Linked DNA regions of Rhinolophus ferrumequinum. The protein of the gene in region 1 interacts with the protein of each later gene in a pairwise test. Links are inferred from orthologs where the notes say so. Each region holds a gene or a part of one and is shown in the gene's direction. Other genes may lie near its edges. The genes, in order: BACH2 and BATF3.

Evidence for each region.
Region 2: the proteins of BACH2 (region 1) and BATF3 interact in binary tests that used the Homo sapiens proteins (3 or more experiments, as listed by UniProt). The link is inferred for Rhinolophus ferrumequinum from reciprocal best matches to the Homo sapiens genes BACH2 and BATF3.

The regions. Positions count from the first base shown.
Region 1 is NC_046286.1:46,785,748-46,795,127, reverse strand, and holds the start of BACH2 (transcription regulator protein BACH2), read left to right. Parts: upstream 1-5,669; 5' UTR 5,670-6,147; intron 6,148-9,380. UniProt on the Homo sapiens protein: Transcriptional regulator that acts as a repressor or activator. Binds to Maf recognition elements (MARE). Plays an important role in coordinating transcription activation and repression by MAFK.
Region 2 is NC_046305.1:19,656,398-19,665,323, forward strand, and holds the start of BATF3 (basic leucine zipper transcriptional factor ATF-like 3), read left to right. Parts: upstream 1-4,509; 5' UTR 4,510-4,711; coding exon 4,712-4,789; exon of another isoform or gene 4,790-4,823; coding exon of another isoform or gene 4,824-4,856; intron 4,857-7,440; coding exon 7,441-7,545; intron 7,546-8,926. UniProt on the Homo sapiens protein: AP-1 family transcription factor that controls the differentiation of CD8(+) thymic conventional dendritic cells in the immune system.

The DNA.
Region 1 (9,380 bases):
TAAATTCCAATGCATATAATTTCCATGTAAACAATTTTAAATGTTATTAATTATGAGCAATTCATTAAATGATAAAAGTAATTTAATATAAAATTATTGCATTTGTCAATTTATTTATGCTTGTTTTGACTATTCGCTTAGAATTTTTTAAGTTCCTTGAGGATAGGATCCAAAGTTTTCTAATTTTTCATCTCTCATCAGTACAACAGATGTTTAATCATGCACATTGAAGAATTACTTTATTTTATATCACTTAAATTTTTAGATCATGGTGGCATTTATCCTTTATTGTAGAAACAGCCCTTGGGCTATGTCACTATAGATAGTGATATGAGAATGTCCTTTCCTCTTAAGGACTGTTTCCAAAGTCCTTCTTAGGAACTGGGATGATCTTTGGGGGAGATAGAGATGGGAAAAATAAGAGAGGTGAGTAGTTAAAATAAAAAAGGCTGCCAGCTAAATTAATAGCCAGGAGTAAAATTTTTGTGTGATTCTAATTACTCTGGAAAATTACAGTGCTCTCTAGTTTGGAATACACTGATAATTTTTCAAAACTTGTGCAAGATTTTATGCAATGAGAAATGACTCTTCTTGGCAGTGGAATGCCCATAAAGACTCTAATAGTAACCCTCAAATTTCCTCTGTGCTCCCCAGCAGTCCTGCTTTATCACCTTGCACTAGTCCACACCTTTTCTCTCTCCTCCAACTCCCACACCCTTCTCCACCACCAGCTGATGAGCTCGCTTCTCAGTCTACTGAGCAAACAGAATCCCCCAGACAAGGACCCTCTGCATTTCCCCTCACCACAAACCAGCCTCCCTGCCCACCCCCACCCTAACTTACCTCCTGCTGCTATGGACCAACTGGCCCCACCCTTTAAATAAGTTCCATTCTCTGACTAAGAACATCACTCCAGAAGTTATCCCCCCTCTTTACATCAACGGTTTTCCCTCTTGATAGGCTTATTCCCAGCAATGAACTCTAATTTCTCCCATGACCCTCGGCTCACTTCCCTATTTTCTCTTTCACAGCAAAGCTCCTCTAAGGAGTGGCCTACACCCATTGCCTCCCCTTCGTCCTGCTCCCCCCACCCCCAAATCCACTCCAGCCAGGGTTTGTCCCTAGCACTCCTCTCTGTCAGATACCAAATTTAAAAGTCAGTGATGTGCCCTCATCTTACTTATGAGATGGCCCATCAGCAGCATTGACACAACCAGTTACTCTCTGCTTCTCAAAACATTCTCTTTTACTTGACCCCAGAAAGCTACACTCCCGTCTCCCCTTCTCTTACTGGCTGCTGTTTCTCAGCCACCTTGGCCAGGTCTCTATTTTCTTCATCTTCTGACCTCTAAATGTTAGAGTGCCCCAGGTCTCACTCCTCAGAACTCTTCTCCACCTATGTTCCCAGATTCTCTATGCTGATGACACACAGATTTCTATTTAGAGTCTGGACTTCTCTCCTGAAGTTTAGATTCCCGTGTTTAATTGCCTAATCAACTTTTCCACTGAGATGTCTCATAGGCATCAGCAATTTACTATATCCAAACCCAAACCCCTGAGCTCCCCCCACCCCCTTACCTGCTCCCCCTATAGCCTTCTCCGTATCAGTAAGTGGAATCTCTATCAATCAGCTGTTCAGGCTAGAATCCAGAATTTCCTTTGACTCTTCTTTCTCTCACATCCTACAATTGAGTCAGCAAGTCCTGTCTGGTTTAGTCTGAATATATATCTAGATTCCATTTATAGCTACCATGTAGTCCAAATTACCATCACCTCTCTTTTCGCCTAGCTCAATAACTTCTACCTGGTCCCTGTGCTTCTACTCTTGTACTCCCTTCCACTTAGCAAACAGAATGATCTTTCAGGAGATAAGGCCAGGTCATGTCCTTTCTCTGCAGAAACCCTTATAAATGTCTTCCAGTTTCACCGAAATATAAAGCTGTTGGCTATCCCTCTGGCATCATCTCCTGTTAGTCTCACCTGGAGCATGCCAAGTCCACTCTACCTCTGGGCCTTTGCACTGGCTCTTCTCAATATCTGAAAACCTTTCTCCCAAGATAGTTGCAGAGCTTGCCCCTCACTTCATTCACATCTCTGTTCAAATGTCCTCTCATCAGGGAGATCTTCCCTGACCCAATCATCCTAAGAATGGCACCACCCATCACGCCTGAGCTCCTTCACCTACTTTATTTGCTTTCACAGCACTCTTCACTTCCAGGTATTATACATACTATATTAGGTATGCATATCTATCTATCTATCTATCTATCTATCTATCTATCTATCTATATAGAAAAAGAGAGAGAGAGAGAGAGAGGAGAAGCCCATTGTCTGTCTCCCTCCCCATCCCAATCTTATTACTAGAAAGAGACTTCTACCTCGAAGCTTATAGAATAGCATCTGCCACACAATAGATGGCTCAACAATTGTTGAACAAATCACCACTCTAAGCTATTCAAATTTCCTCAGTTCTCCTAAATGTCACCTGTGCAGTACTGAGGCTTTATGGTTTAGGTATACACTTCAAGACATCTCGTTTTCAAATAATAAACTTTAGTTGTAATTCCGAGGAATTTGCCCAATGAGTAGAATTCAGTTTCTTCTTAACGGACCTTCCTTCAGTAATTGACTCCTCCTGGCTTTGGCATTCTCCATCTAAACATCCCGTTCCATTCTCTCTCATTGGATGTTAACTTTGCCCTGCTATGTCTCATTCAAAGTACCACATTTAAAATTCCGCCTAGGGTTTCAGGGCGGGAATTCCCACCCATTCTCGTGAATTATTTTCACTTTCCCATTCCCAAATTCTGAGAAAAGTTGGTCAGGAAATCGGGCAACTCGGCTCTTTGAACCCAGGTGGTTGGTAGTATCGGCCAACCGGTAGTATTTGTGGAAACGATTCATTGTGGAGAACAGAAAACAGTTTGTATCTCGGGATTCGGGAACAGGAAAGCCAAAAACATTTCCTGAGAACTGGCGGGAATTCCCGCCTGGAAACCCTAATTCTGCCTAAGAAAAACCAATGTATCTTTTCAACATCATCAGATACTGTACCAGGATGCTGAGGGATGAAAACATCTAAGACCCAAGAACTGCTTCCTTCTTTCTTCTGTCTTCCTTTCCTCATTTTTGTTTCTGGTATATTTTAATTTTTCCTATTTTATAAGCTCAAGGTGATTTATAGAAATAAAGTTTACTGACTTCAATTCTGTGGTACAATGTAATGGTCCCTGGAAATCAGATCCTGCTTAGAAATGTACCACAGATGAAGCCCATATTCCAGACCAACACACACATGTAATTAGGTAGGAAAAGAAAAAGTGTATCAGAGAAGGCTGGATGTTGCAGGCCTGGGAAATGAGTGGACCTCTCCTCAAGTTACTGCCTGGAAGACACAGAGGGAAGGGCCTGCATCTGTTTCGCATTGTAAATGCCTGAAGTGCCCACCGGGGCACCACATACCTAGGGAATGGCCAACGCACATTCTCGAGGAAGGTGCTAGGCCAGCCACAGCCTCACCTCTCCAGTCATCCTGTTAAAAGAATGTCCAGTGCTTGACTTACGATCCTCATTTCATACAATCCTGTGTATGTTTTACAGGATTTAATCCAAATAACCCATTTCTAACTATTGAAAATAAAATAATTCCCTACTAGACTGCAAGCTCCTCTAAGGCAAGATTTTGTCATATTCACAGCCACAGAGACACCTGATTGCAGTATTGGATGTGACCTTAGAGGTCAACTAGTTCTAATCAAACCTCCTTGAATGAGTAGATAATATAATCGATCACAGCCACATTCGGTTTTTTTCCTCTCTAATTGCTATCCCATACTTTTATCTCATACTTGAGAATTTCAAACTAAAACAGCTCCGGTTTGAGTCTTTGAAAAATAGACAAATTGAAATGACCACATAGCCTTTATTATATCCATCTGGGACCAGAAGCAAGGTGGCAAGGTCAGCTTGCAGCAGCAGCTCCCCCACTCCCACCCCCACCCGAAGATGATGTGCCCAGCTCCACTTGCAGCTGGGCAGCCACGGCCCGCTTGAAATCAAATGAATTTACATGACCCTCATAGGGATTTTCTCAAGCCTGGCTCTTGTGAGAAAAACATGTAGTGGTGCTTATTAAAATGCATTAAGTTATCATATTGACACTCGCATACTTACGAGAATAAGGAATACAGAAACTCACCATCCATCAGATGATAAGAAATGGCCCCACCAGGGCAGACCAAGGATCAGTATTCTGTCCTTATTAGGGGGCCAGACAGGGACCTCAGAAGCAGAGTGTTTCATCAAAAAGGGCACCAGACCCAAAGTCAGCAGACCTAGGACTGCTCCTAGGTCTGAGACTTTTCTTCATCTGAACACTGGAGAGGCTAGCAAAGAAAATCTCCCAGCATGGTTCTAGAGCTACAATACAGGTTGAGGCTCTGCAATACTGTTAGAAAAATGAGCTTGGCCCTTTCAGCTTCCTTGCCACCATCTCTTAGCTTTCCGGACAGACATTCAAAACTGGGCCTTCTAAAACTCTGCCCTCAAACGAAGGTGGTTCAGAGCAACACTTTAGCTGATATCACAAGACTCCCAGGGCAATGCTTCACTGCTTCCTCAGCATATGCCAGTGCCCATTTTACAGGGGAGGGGGGGATTTATGATCTTTCTCTCAGTAGAGCGAGCCAAAGTTTTATAATATTCATTAAAAATCAGCACCACATGTAATAATATGGAATACTGCCTGTACACAAGGGGGCCAAGTTATAGGTGTTCAGGGAAACGTGGCAGAATTTCCTGGCCTTCGCAGGGGTAAATTTGCAGGCACCAGCACTACTCTAACACAACCTTCTTTTATAGCAAATGTTCGTTCAGTCTAAGTCCTAATTACTTTCTGTAAAATCCTAACCACGATCAAGCTTTCCTTCTGACAGGACAGCCACACGATGGCCTTAAAATGCAGCAGCAACACCCTGGCAGCCTCCAGAGTGAGAGGCAGGGGAAAGGCTGGAACCCAGTAGGAACTGGGGCTGAAGCTGGGGAGAGTGGCTTTTCTGCGCCCCTTCTAAAATCCTGGTGTGGGGACTTAGAGATTCACTCAGTGGGACAGGCCGAGCCCCTCCAAAAGGATTCAAATGTCAACATCGCTAGTGGGTCGGAAGCTATTCTTCTTCGCCCCATCTCCACCCAAAAGGGGGCCGGGTCAGCTTTGTGGGGGCCCTGGAGCATCTTTTCTTGCTCTTCCTGAGAAATGCTAGACAACGCAAGAATCCCAGATCTGGAGGTCTGGCTCCCCTTCCTAGGTGTAGTGTCCTGGGCTCTGCCCCCCTCCCCACGTGCCACACCAGCCCTCACCACACAACGTCCCCACACCCCACTGGACCCCAGCCCTTGCCTTTCAAGGCCCCTGCGAGTCCCGGGCCAGGCCGGACGGAGTCAGGCGGTCAGCTGGGCCGGGAGCAGGGGGCTCTCTAGGCCGCATGGCCGCACAAAGCCCGGAGAGCGGCAGCGGCGGCGGCTGGGTGAGGCGCGCCCCCTCCCGCGAGCCGGCTGAGCGCGCGCACCCGCCCTCGCCCCCCGCCCCAGCCCCAGCCCCCGGAGCGCCATTCGCGGAGCGACTTACGCTAGTCGCCAGGCGTACGGCGCCCCAGCGGCCGGGGAGGTGCGCTGCCCGGCTCCCGTAAAGTTATTGTGAATGGGGAGCGGGTGACGTCAGCGCCGAATGTCAACAATGTAGCGATTGAGAGTGTGGGCGTTCCGGGGAGAGCGCGAGCTGCGCTGCGCGGAGCAAACAGCGCCGAGCCGCCGCCGCCTCACCACCAGCAGCCGTAGCAGCAGCGATCGTGCACGCCCGGGCTGCGATCGCAGCAGCGCTAACGTGAGCGCCCGCCGCCGCCCTCGCCATCCGCCTGCCCACTCCCGCTGCCGCCGGGCTCTCGCTTTCTCCCCGGCCTCCCCTCGATCATTCCCCTCCCCCTTCCCGGCACACTCGGGGGACTGGGAACGAGCTGCCATGTGATGCGTGTCCTCTCCTCGAGCTTTCGGTGACCCCCGAACCGACCACCGCGCCGGCCGCCGGGAGGGGGCTGCGGTCTGGGAAGACGCAGGGAAGAGGAGGCGGAAAAGAACGCAAAGTTCTCTGGTGAGGTGAGTCCCCCGCCCCGGGCTCCGGGGCCGGGCGGGGCGGCGGGGCAAGTTTGTGGGGGCAGTGGGTGAGCGGGGCGGGCGGGGAGGCGTGGGGGAAGAGGCGCGGGAAGAGAGCCGCGATCGCCGGCGCGCAGCCGCCGGCTGAGCACCCTGCCCGCTTTTATGGCATTTTCTAGGAACTGGAAAGGGGTGGGAGCCGGGCGGGCGGACGCGCCGCGGCAAATGTGCGCTCTCTCGCCTGGCTGTTTACCGCGGGTGAGGCGGCATTGTATTTTGTTCGCGTCGACGAGTGTTTTGGAACAGTAGGGGGAGGAGGAGCGGAGGGTAATAAGTCAGGCGTGGGGCGGGCGGTCTGGAGGGAGGCGCGCGTCCGCGCGAGCGGGAGCAGCTGTCAACCCCTCGGCCCGGCTCCGGGCCCGGAGAGGCCCGGGCGCCCCGGCCCCCAGACCGTGATCTCCGCGCCTGGCCAGACCGCGTCCAACCCGACCGCGGCGTCAGCACCCGGTGCTGCGCTGCAAGGACCCCGGCCGCCGCGCTTTTGCGTTTAGCTGTCAGTCGCCGCAGGAGAGTCGGTACCACTGCGACTGGCAGGACATCAAAGCCCAAGTTTAGAGTCCGGGGAAGAGGCAGATTGGGGCCTTGCAGCGCCGACCTCGGGCTGCGCGCTGGCTGGAATCCCTACTAGCCAATGACCGGGTTATCGGAATGCGTCTCTGGGAAGGCAAACTGCGGGGCTCGTGCCAGCAGAGAGGGGAACCTTGCATATCCCTCCTCCCAAGATTCTGCATGAAATCAAAGTCAAACACACACATACACCCATCCTCTTCTCCTTCTCCACACTTCAGTCTCCAAGCCCCAGAAGCTCCACCTAAGGAGAGGAGTTTATCCAGAGGACACCTCTCTACCTCCCCATGCGGAGGCGCGCGGTGGGTCTCGCAGTTCTCTCACCCGGTGGGTGCTCAGGAGTCAAGCGCCCTTGGAGAGGGCGGCGGGCGGCGCTCACGGACTACCCCAGCTGCCCGCAAGAGGGGACTCTAGTGAGCATCTCGGCGACCTCGGTCTGGCCGAGGGTTTGCAGGAACTCGGACTGTAGGAGGAAGCGGGCCGGGCCGGGTGTATGTGTGTGAAGGGGGACGCGTCCCCCAGGCTTCCCGGGTCGTGGGTACGCGGGGTATCCTCAGCTCCCTCTCACGTGTAGGCGATTTTGACAACTTGGGGAAAGTTCCGGCCCAGCCGCTGTCAGGCTGGGTTTGTTTGTGGCCGGAGAAAGCGCGCTTTTGCAGCTCGCGGTCAGCGAGATCCGTGGCCCCTGAGAAACAAGAAAGACGAGGGTGCCACAGACTCCTGGACCGCTGGCAGATAGCGAGCCACGGCGTTCCTGGGTTTTCACTTTCGCTGTCTAGTGCTGCAGTCTCTCACTCTCTGTGTAAATTTCATCTGTTGAGTGTATTTTACTAAAAAGGGTAATTACTTTAGATAAAAATCCTTTCCTGCCTGGTGGGAACCTTGGCGGAGATGATGCCAAATGAGATATTTTGCTTTTGTCTATTTAGAGTAAAATTAGAGATGTTAAAACTCTGATAACGGTTTTCTCAGATCATTAAAATGTAACGTGTAGGAAAGGAATGTCGAGCTGCGAAGGCTCTGGCTGACATGAAAGAAGCTGAGCATGAAAGGCTGGCTGCCACTTCTGGTGGAGAGGGCTATTTTGGTAAGGCAGAAAAAGTCTTGCTTAAAATGTAAGATTGCCCCACCCTGGTTCTCCGACAGCTCTCGAGTAAACGGCATTTTTCATTCTTGCAGGTAATAATAAACGTGAGTCAAAATGACATCTTGTTAGAATTAGTCTTTAGTCTGTAAGAGAGATTGCTAAATTATAGTGTTGCATTCAAACTGCTCCAGTGAAAGATCTGTCATCATTTCTATTATAAATTCAGTTTTTTTCAGGAGTTTATAATTTCACCACAAAACTTTGAGTGGCTGAAATGTTTTTCTAGTGTTCTGGTTTTAAGAATGCATTGATTGCCCACTTCCATCCTATTTGCTATTCTGGAAAATTAAAAAGCATTGAAATGGGGGGGGTCCCAGAAATGGAATTCACAACCACGGAATAAAGTGTTTTTGTTAGAACATTATTTGTGCAGAGCAGTATTTTCATTTTGGATTTTGGAAGGCTTTAGGTTTGCCATTTGGTAATCATAAATGTGTTGAATTAATTCTTCTGGTATCTTTGGATTCTGCAGGTGGATTGAAATGTCAGTTTGTATTGTATACGCCAGGATTATATCTAGAAACATTCCCCTCATATATGTGTATATCTGAATTCATCGCTAAATTATGAACACCCCTGTTAGTTACTTTTCAGTTCTTTGTATGTTGTTGCATTTGAGGATCTGCCATAGAGAGGAAGGAGTAAGGCAGAAAGGGAGGGAGGGAGTCAGGACTCCCCCACCCAATTCACTTTTCAGTATTACTAGTGCCTAGGAGGAAGCCATTTATTCTTTCTATTGAATTATGCCTTTGACCCAGTGTCTTCAGGCAAGTCCCTTCCAGTGGCTCATCTCTGGCTGCTGTGTGAGGGGCTTAATTATTTGCAAACTGCCTTGAAATCCCTGGATGAAAGGCACTGCATAAGTGCAGAGTATTGCTATTCAGATATGGAATTTAATGATCCATTACAGTTCATCAGGAAAATGCACTTTGCAGTGATGGTAGGAAACGTTTCCACCTGATAGAGGGTAATAATAACTGCTTAAAAGTAGGTTCAGATTACAGATGAGACAATTAACTCTGGCCATGTGCTCTTCAATTTGTTGCAATTCATTTTGTGATCAAAATGAGTCGGGGAGAGCCAGATGGTCAGGTTCATGTTCAAATCTCTCCTAGGCCACCCCTTCACTTCTGGGACCACGGTCTGCACAGCCAACAGGACTTCCTCATTAGCGCTGCGAGCTATTCCTCAGAATTTGTGATCGAGGCTCCTGTGATGCCAACAAAAGGGCTCAGGCCAATCTATTGTTGGGAGCAGTTTAATTTTACTTGGATTAAGTAGTGCTTAGTGACCCTGGTATGGATCCAGCCTTCACAAGGGAAGAGAGCGATCCCAGTGGCTCTCCAGCTTAGCTGTGCCCGTCTCCACTGCCCTAGTTTTTGTACCTCAGATTTCAGGGGCTTTGGTGCCTGGCTTGTTGTAAATGCTGGTTTGACGCAGAATGAATGACAGAATATTCAGA
Region 2 (8,926 bases), on another chromosome or scaffold:
TCTAGCATAATCTGAAATTTGTTTTTACAGTTTGCTGATTGATGTCAGAACATTTTCTACTGATTTTAATTTATCTTTATCTCTTTTTTTAACATTTCATTAATTTTACATATTTTTTCTCTGTCTTTAAATATATAAATGAAATTAGAGATGACAAAGGATTTGTTCGCCCTTCATTTACGAACAAATCAGGAGTCTGTACTTTCTAGCTTTTACTGAAAATGTTCCAGAACGTATTTCCAAAGAGCAGCTAAAATGTCATATTCAAGCTTTATGAAATATGCCACTCCCACTAACAAAGAAAATACCCTTTACGATACATTTATAATTGCATACGCTGAATTTTTTATTTCATTCCTGGCAGGTGAGAATGCTGTTTTGACGAGACGTAAACAACTAAATCCTCTGCTTACAATTTTACATGTGTGACGATCTGAACAATTTGCAGAGATTAGCTTCTGGGGTTGTATATTTCAAACCTTCTTTCTCCTCTGCCATCCTAATAGGCAACACCAGGTCTCAGGACAATGTCCCTTGTCAGGTGAGTTAGCATGGTGGGCAGTAGGAATATCCTGCCATGCAACTAGCAATAAATGGTTCTAGATAGAAGTGACTGCGAACCATATATATATGGTGTGTGTGTATACATATACACACACACATATACGTGTATATCTGATTAACCTTCCTTTGCAAGCTCCTCCCAAATGCCCACAGCTACTTCAACACTACCAGACCTGAAGGGACTGAGAGGAAGTTGGGGTAAAAAGAGACAGTGGTCTTAGCCATTTTGGTTAAAATGTTCCACGTTTGCAAATTTTATTTCAATCTTTCCCCATGTGAACACTGCTCGGGCCTCTTCTGGGCCTTGAAAGGGGCCTGGATGTGAGGGGTCTTAAAGCTTTGCTCATTGACTTCCTGGCAAATTTGCCTCAGCCTCCAAAGCTCTCACCATCATCTCAGCCCTCTCTCCTGAATTGTTTCCATCGCCTGGTGGCCCTGCATGACCCGGCCCATTGACTGTCTGACCTCATGTCTTGGTATCCAGTGCTTCCTCACTCTCCTCCAGCCTCCTACAGCTTCTGGAATAGCCAGGCACGCTCCCAAGGGGGTCTTGCCTTTACTGTTCCTGCAGCCTGGACTTCTCCTCCCAGATAGTGGCATGGCTCCCTCTTTCACCTCCTTGTTGACCTCCCCTCACTACTCAATATTTCTTGTCCCTGCTTTATATTTCTCCAAAGAATGTATCACAATCTGAATACTGTGTTTTGTCTATTGTCTGCCTCCTCTAGAATGTGACCTCCATGAGGTGCAGGTCTTCGTTCTGTTCACTGCCATGTCCCAGTGCCGAAAACAGTGCCTGACACATGACTGATTTTTGGTAAATGCAGGGATCTCTGCCTTAACCTTTCCTTTCTCTAGCCCTACCAGAAGTCCACAGGAGCACCTTCTGAGAAAGGTCAGTGAAAGTACACTTACTGGATGGCCACTTTCCCTCAAAGAGAAGAGCAAAGGTGAAATAGTGGCAGGGTTTTTTAGCATTTGAGCAAATGGCATTTATAAAGAACCATCTTCTTGTGAAGTGAATCACCAGAGGATTTGATCACTGACCTGCACCTCCTCCTGCTGTCCTGGAAGATGTAATCCAGGGTCACTGTGGTAGTCACAGGAAATTGCCAGATCATGTAATATAATTTCTCTTCCCAGTTCAAAGGAAAAAACACAAATCAAAAGAAAAGGCAGAAGAAGGAGACATTTAAAATGTTTATTGTTGTTTATCTTTTCATTTTTCTTTCTTCTTCTGACCTAGAATAAAATGAACCAGAAAATATTACAGAAAAGCAAGAAAAACAGGCTGTTATTAGAGCATCCCACTTGGTCAGAGAAGTGTTGGCATTCTGGTGTCACAAAAGAGCTTAGTGCCAGGGAAAGCAATATCACCTGTAAATATTAAATGTTTTAAGATGCTAATGTAATACAACATTTTCCAGATAGTTTAAAAAAGACAAGTAAAAGCAATTATAATCCCTCCACCATGACAAGTAAGTTAGTACTTTGGTGTATTCTTTTCTAATTTTATTCTCATATGCATACACTTTCTCACTGTGGTAAAAAATACACAACATAAAATTTACCATCTTAACCATTTTAAAATGTATAGTACAGTAGTATTTTGCATACATTTTTATATACGTTATATGTATACTCTTTGTATGCTGCTTTTTTCCCCTCACTTTACCTCATATCAAATAAATCTTACAGGTGGCAAATTTGTCTGCATGCTTGGAATTTTAAAGATGTATAATATCCTATCACATGGCTATAACATTTTATTCAGCCATTCACCTATAATTGGACATTTATGCTGCTTACAATTTTTCACTTTTCAAAATATTATGAACTTTTAGTGCATATACTATTTTTCTCTTTACTATTTTTGATGATATTCCTAGGATAATTTTCTAGATGTTTTCTAGGGAAAACAAAGTCAAGAGTGATGACTCTTGCATGGTTCTTAAAAATTACAATAAAATTGCTTTCCAGTAGGTTTGTATCAGTTTACAATGATGCCAATGAAATATGAGAGTACCAATTTCACCATACTCTCACCGACATTTGTTACAATCTTTTATTTTGTTAATGTAATATTTTTAAAGGTTTTATTTTTCTTATATCTATTTTCCTTGATCATTTCTTCTGTTGAGAAATGCCAGTTCATGTCACTTGTGCATTTTACTTTTGGGAGGTTGTTTTGATATTTTTCTTGTTCCTTTTCATGGGCTATATACACACTTGAGATTTTAACCCTTTATCATATTTACTGTGCTCCCCCCTGAATGGGTTTTTAATTTTGGGTCATACTGTCATCTAAAGCAATTTAACATTCTTATATGGTTCAGATCTTTCCAATGTGATTTCTCCTACCACATGATATCTCAGAAAACTCTTTCCAGGGTATCTCGGGGCTTTAATAAAGAATTGAATTCTGTTTTACCTTCCTAATTTTATTTTCTATATTTAATTATTTAATCCATTCATTTTGATGTATGATAGGAAGGTCAAATTGATCTGTTCCTTAAATGCTAACTAGTTAACCAAGACTCCTCCTTTACATATATTTGAAGGAACACTTGAATAACTAAGACAGTAGTTATGAAGAGTTTTTGTGTGCTGGGGCATGGTTTCAGGCCCTGCGGGAAGCCAGGTGGAAGGGACAGCCCCAAAGGACTTAGAACGCACTTCAGCTCCTTGAGAAAAGTGGCGATAACCAGAATGAAGTGTGGGACTGCACCTAAATGTCTTTTCCTTTCAAAATCATAAACACTGGAGGAATGAAAGCACTTCTGAAAATTAAAGACCACTTGACCCAGAGGTCTTCCTATCTTGTTAGAGTCCGTGTAAGTTTCCAAGACTTAGGGCTCTCAGTTGACCTGCAATAAACTTACTGAGCATGCAGGTGTGGAGTGCTGTGCTAGGCACGTTGTGTGTGCCTGTGTGGGACGCAAAGTAATCGCTCTGGGGCGACGACGAGTTATGTAGAGTGATGCCAAGGATCAAAGGAAGATGAGAAGATAAATCTAGGCAGATAACCGAGTATAGAGATGGCTCCGTTGTGCAGCGTTGATGGTGTGGGGAAGACACTGTCACTATAAAGAGTTATGCCCACCCTCTGTCCTCCCCTGCCTCTCACCTCCACTCTCCGCTGAGTTGGTGGAAGCCCCTGCCCACACAGACAAGATTCGCCACTTTCTTTCCAATGCTGGGCCAGGCAGCCAAGTTCACACAAGCTGCGTTTCACAGTTTTTGCAAGGGTCTTAAATCCTGGTGGAGAGCCACGTGCACGAGACTCAGAATCAGAAGTGCCCGCCCTTATCCCCGTTGCTCCCCGGAGCCTGAAAACTCAAGTGACCACGTTGGGATGGCACGTGACAAGAGGAGTCAGTGCTCCCTCAGCAAGGCCCTGGGGCGCGGGTGGCCCTCACGGCGCGCTGTGGGCTCAGTGAAGCCGATGGCCCTCTTCCCTGGACTGCGCCTCCAGGGCGGGGGGCCCGAGGGCTGCGGGAGGAGTGAGAGTGGCGCCGGGTGACAGATCGCCGCGGAGAAAGTCCCCCAGGACTGTGACCCCTGCGCTGGGGGGAGGCGGGGCCAATGCTCAGGAAGATGTAGTGAAGAAACCACCAACCCCAAACCACCCACTTGTGTTTCTCACCCTGAGTTCCCCGAGAGCAGTCCTGGACCCCACAGGCTGCACTGCGCCCCCCTGACCCCCAACCTCCCCAGCGTCGCCTCCTGTGGGTGGGCTTCGAGTTCCCTCCAGGTTTCGGAACCACCACGTGACTTCCACGAAGAGCTGGGGGCCCCAGCGGAAAGCTGCGACAGGGGTGGGATTTGGGACCCCGACGTGCGGCAAGAGGAGGAAATGAGGCGGGTTGGGAGAAGGAGGGGGCGGGGCAGACTTGGGGACGTGAAGGACCGCAGGCTGGGACGGGGGTGGTGAAGCCGGGAAGACGCGCAGCGGCAGCACCAGCGCCGAGAGCGGGAAGCCCTAGGGGCGGGGCGGGGGCCTGGCGGTCTGCAGGTGCGGGCGCGAGGATGCCCGTGGCTGGAGAGCTCCGGTAGGCAGCGCCCCGCGTGCAGGGCGCGGCGGGCCGCGCGGCCGCTCCTCCGCGAGGCTGCGCGGCGGGGGGGCCGGACCCGAGGAGCACCCGGCATGTCGCAAGGGCTCCCGGCTGCCGGCAGCGTCCTACAGAGGAGCGTTGCGGCTCCTGGGAACCAGCCGCAGCCGCAGGTAGTGAACTAGAGGCTCAGGGAGGGCGGCAGGGATGCGGGGATCCGGCATCGGGGAGGGCGAGGAGGTGGGTACTGGGGTCCCGGAGTGCTGACGCTGAGTGCGGGAGTGGGGGCGCGAGAGCGGTCCAGGGGCGTACGCATGGTACCCGCGGCGTCCGGGATGGTGACCCGGCTCCTGTGTCTGGGCAGGAGAGACCCGAGGAAGCCGAAGCCTGGCTGGGTTCCGCACGGTCCACATTCCCCAGCACGCGTGGCCAGCGCTGCCCCAGGTGCCGCACTATCCGCTTGCTGCCGCCTTCGCGTGTGGCCCTTCCCGGGAGCTCCGAGTGAGGGCCAGGGCGTGGAGAGGGGAAATTCAGCCCGAAGGGGCAACTCAACCCAGGCACTCCCAATATCTACCCTCCTGCTGCCTGAATGGGGAACTCAGGACCGAACAGCCTAGGGATGCGGGGTGGGGGCCTGCAGTGCGTGGACTCCACCCCCAGCGCTGGTGGAAACCCCTCGCCTGCAGCCAGTCCTCTGCGCTGTCCCGGCAACCTTTACAACTGCGTGGTCTGGAAACTGGAGACAATGTTGCCAGCAGGTTGTGCTGTCAGAGACTTCCCACCCAGGTGCCGCAGGACTGAGTTTTTCCTCGTTATGTCCCCCTTCTCAGTTCGGTGCCTGGCATAGAGCGTCATCAGGTGATGCTAGAGCCCCACAGATCTGAGTTTGGACCTCGGTTTTGCCACACAGGCTGAGTAGCCTCGGGCACTTTGCTTAACCTCTCGGAGCCTGCGTTTTCCCACACGTAAAATGAGTACATATAATAATACCAGCCTGTCATGATTTTTGTGAGGAGTAGTTGAGATATGGTTAATAATATATGAATATCTCAACACTTTGCTCCCCTATTTCTGTCTTGATAAATGTTTCTGCTGGGTTGTCAGGTGGGGCCATATGATGATGATGATCCAGTTTAGAGTGTGGGCTCCCAGAAGGCAGGCTGCATTGTGCCCTATGACTTTCCAATTATGAAAAACAAAGAGGTACCATTTGGAGACAAGCACGGGTGGGCAGGACTCAATACAAAAGGACAGCAACCTCAACAGAGGTTATTGATGGCATATGTGTACTGGGAGCTTTAAGATAAAGTCTTGTTTTATCTCATGCCAAACCTCAAACTTTAGGCTGTGGAGAGTACTTACCAGTTTGTTCCAGGCACTATCTCCAGTGCCTGGCACATGGCAGGTACTCAGTTGACACTATTGAAAGAATAATGAATCACACTTACAATAAATGAGAAAACAAAATTCAGAGAATGTGGTCCCCAAGGCCATATTGACAGTAGAAGACTAAACCAGGAGCTGTGTTATTTCTAAAGCTAAAGTTTTGTCCTCTATACCACATTTCCCCCCTGTGGTGTTCTGGTTCTGTTTATCAAAATTACGTTTCCTCTGAAAGACTACATTGTAACACCTTGTGTCTGTTCCCTTAACTGTCTCCAGGCCTCTTTTATACATTATGCTATTTATGTACATGTCATTTACTCTTCTCCTTTTATAGCCTTGTAGTCCTTGCGTATGCTGAAAATTCTTTCCCTGCAGTAACTTGGGGAGATAGTATGTGTCTCTCTTATTTGGAATACAAGACCAGATAAAGTGATAACTGAAAATATCCATTATTTTATGTTATCAGTGTTTGCTTTAAATTAACATTAATAATTGAATAGCTTTCCTATGTTTGTATTCTACTAACCTCTTGGCTTTTGAATGCTTTAAAGGTAGTTTTCTCCACGTGCCCCTCTTGGTATCTTCTCACAGTTTTCTGGAAGGCAAATGCTACTTTCCTCTCCATGTTTTCTATAACTGAAGGAAGTGTTTTTACCATGGTAGGTGCATTTTGCTGCCTGCCTGTTTCAGGACAGATAACTCTTGGAGGATTTGACTAGATTTGGCTACATCTCATATATATATATATATATATAGCTAAGGGCTTTTAAGATACATCATGAATTTGTTTTCTGATTTGCTCTGACCTGTGAAACAAAATGTCAATCAATCATAGTCCAAATGAGCATATTGTCAGTGGTGTTCAATCATTCGCTGTGCTGGTAGAGTCATGTGGTTACAGTGAGTTATAAGTGTAGTCGCGATCTATACACAGTATCTAAAGTACCTGTTTTGTGTGTGGTGGCGTAAGACCTGGCACATGGCGAGTTGCAGATAGCAGACGGCTTCTGCCTTTTCCATTCTCAGATGAAAAGCACTGACACCACAGCTCTTCCAGGCACACGCCCTGTGGGGTAGGGGTTTATGAACGTTGGTTTGGAGCCCAACAGACCTGAGTTCCACTTCCCATTCACCCACTTACTAGCTGTAGTACCTGGAGCAAGTCCCTTAACCTCTCTGAGTTTCTTATTCCTCATCTTTTAAATGGCAGCCACTCCACATGTTTCTCAGGGTGATCGTAGGGAATAACAGCTAGGTGAACTCATGGGGAGTGCTGCTTAACAAGGGCCACTGTTAGCTACCTCGCTGATGTAGCACCAAGCGCTGCTGTGACTGCAAATAAAAGGGTGAAGACTATGAGCAATGCTGAGTGAAGAGACCAGGCAAACGGGTGAGGCGAAGGACCTCCATTCACTCCTGACCACACATTCCCCCCCAGAGCCCAGACGACGATGACAGGAAGGTCCGAAGGAGAGAAAAAAACCGAGTTGCTGCTCAGAGAAGTCGGAAGAAGCAGACCCAGAAAGCTGACAAACTCCATGAGGTGAGACTGAGGTGGGGGCAGAGCCACGTGAGGGCCCCCGGCGAGGGCCCCCTCCGTCCTTGCACTTTGATAGTGGCCCTGAGCTCACTTCCTGGTCATCACCAATTTGGCCATGTGCACGTCTAATTCTGCTGCATCCTTCCAGCCCAGCGTTATGATTCTTCGCTGACTGGCCTCTTGATTTCTCCCTCACCCACTAGTTGCGTCTCACACTCACATTTCGTTCATTATAAAACAAACCATACCAAACCTGCTCTTGATCCGATTTCCTTTCAAGCTAGTGCCCATTTCTTTTCTTTCCTTCCGTCAGTTCCCTGCTCCTTATAGAGGGATTTGCTTTCTCTATGGCCTCCGTTCCCGTGTATTCTTCAGTCCTCTGTGATTTTGTTTCTGCCCTTTCCCCACCAACACACACACACACACACACACACACACACACACACACACACAATCCTACAGAAGCTGCTCCCACTGAGTCCGCTCGTGCCCTGGCATTGCCCGAATCAGGGAACTTGTTCTAGTCTCGTCATCCTTCACCTCACTGGAACATTGGATGCCATTGACCTTCCCTTCTTGAAACCTTCTTTCAAGGTCTTTAGCTTCTAAAAGACCACATGTCCTACTTCTCCTGACCCTCTTAAAAAGCAGTCACTTTTTTTCTCAGTTTCTTTGTTAGATTTTTCTACCTCTGTTTCTTTAAATGTTGTTGACCAGGGTTTCAGACTCTTCCCTTTATCCTTCTCACCATGGAAAATTTAATCTATAAGTCTGTTCTCCCAACATCAATTATGTCAGGCAGGACCGCTGTTCTAGCCCTCACGCCATACCTCCGGTGTTTCCAAATGGGTCTGCTTGCTGCAGGCTCCTCAGATGCAACATAGTCATAATAGAGGATTGTTACTCCTGAGATGTTCTATTCCTACGGTCTTCAATTTGTTCTTCATGGTGCTACCTATCTTTCTCATCACCCAAATTAGGAACCTGGGATTTATTCTAAACTTTCTTTTTTTTTTCTTTTAATGTTAGTTGCTATTAATGTTAGCAACGCTTTTTTTTTTTTTTTTTAAGATATTTTGGGGAAGAGGAACAGGACTTTATTGGGGAACAGTGTGTACTTCCAAGCCTTTTTTCCAAGTCAAGTTGTTGTCCTTTCAATCTTAGTTGTGGAGGGTGCCATTCAGCTTCAAGTTGTTGTCCTTTCAGTCTTAGTTGTGGGGGGCGCAGCTCAGCTCCAGGTCCAGTTGCTGTTGCTAGTTGCAGGGGGCGCAGCCCACCATCCCTTGCGGGAGTCGAGGAGTTGAACCAGCAACCTTGGGGTTGAGAGCCCACTGGCCCATGTGGGAATCGAACCGGCAGCCTTGGGAGTTAGGAACACGGAGCT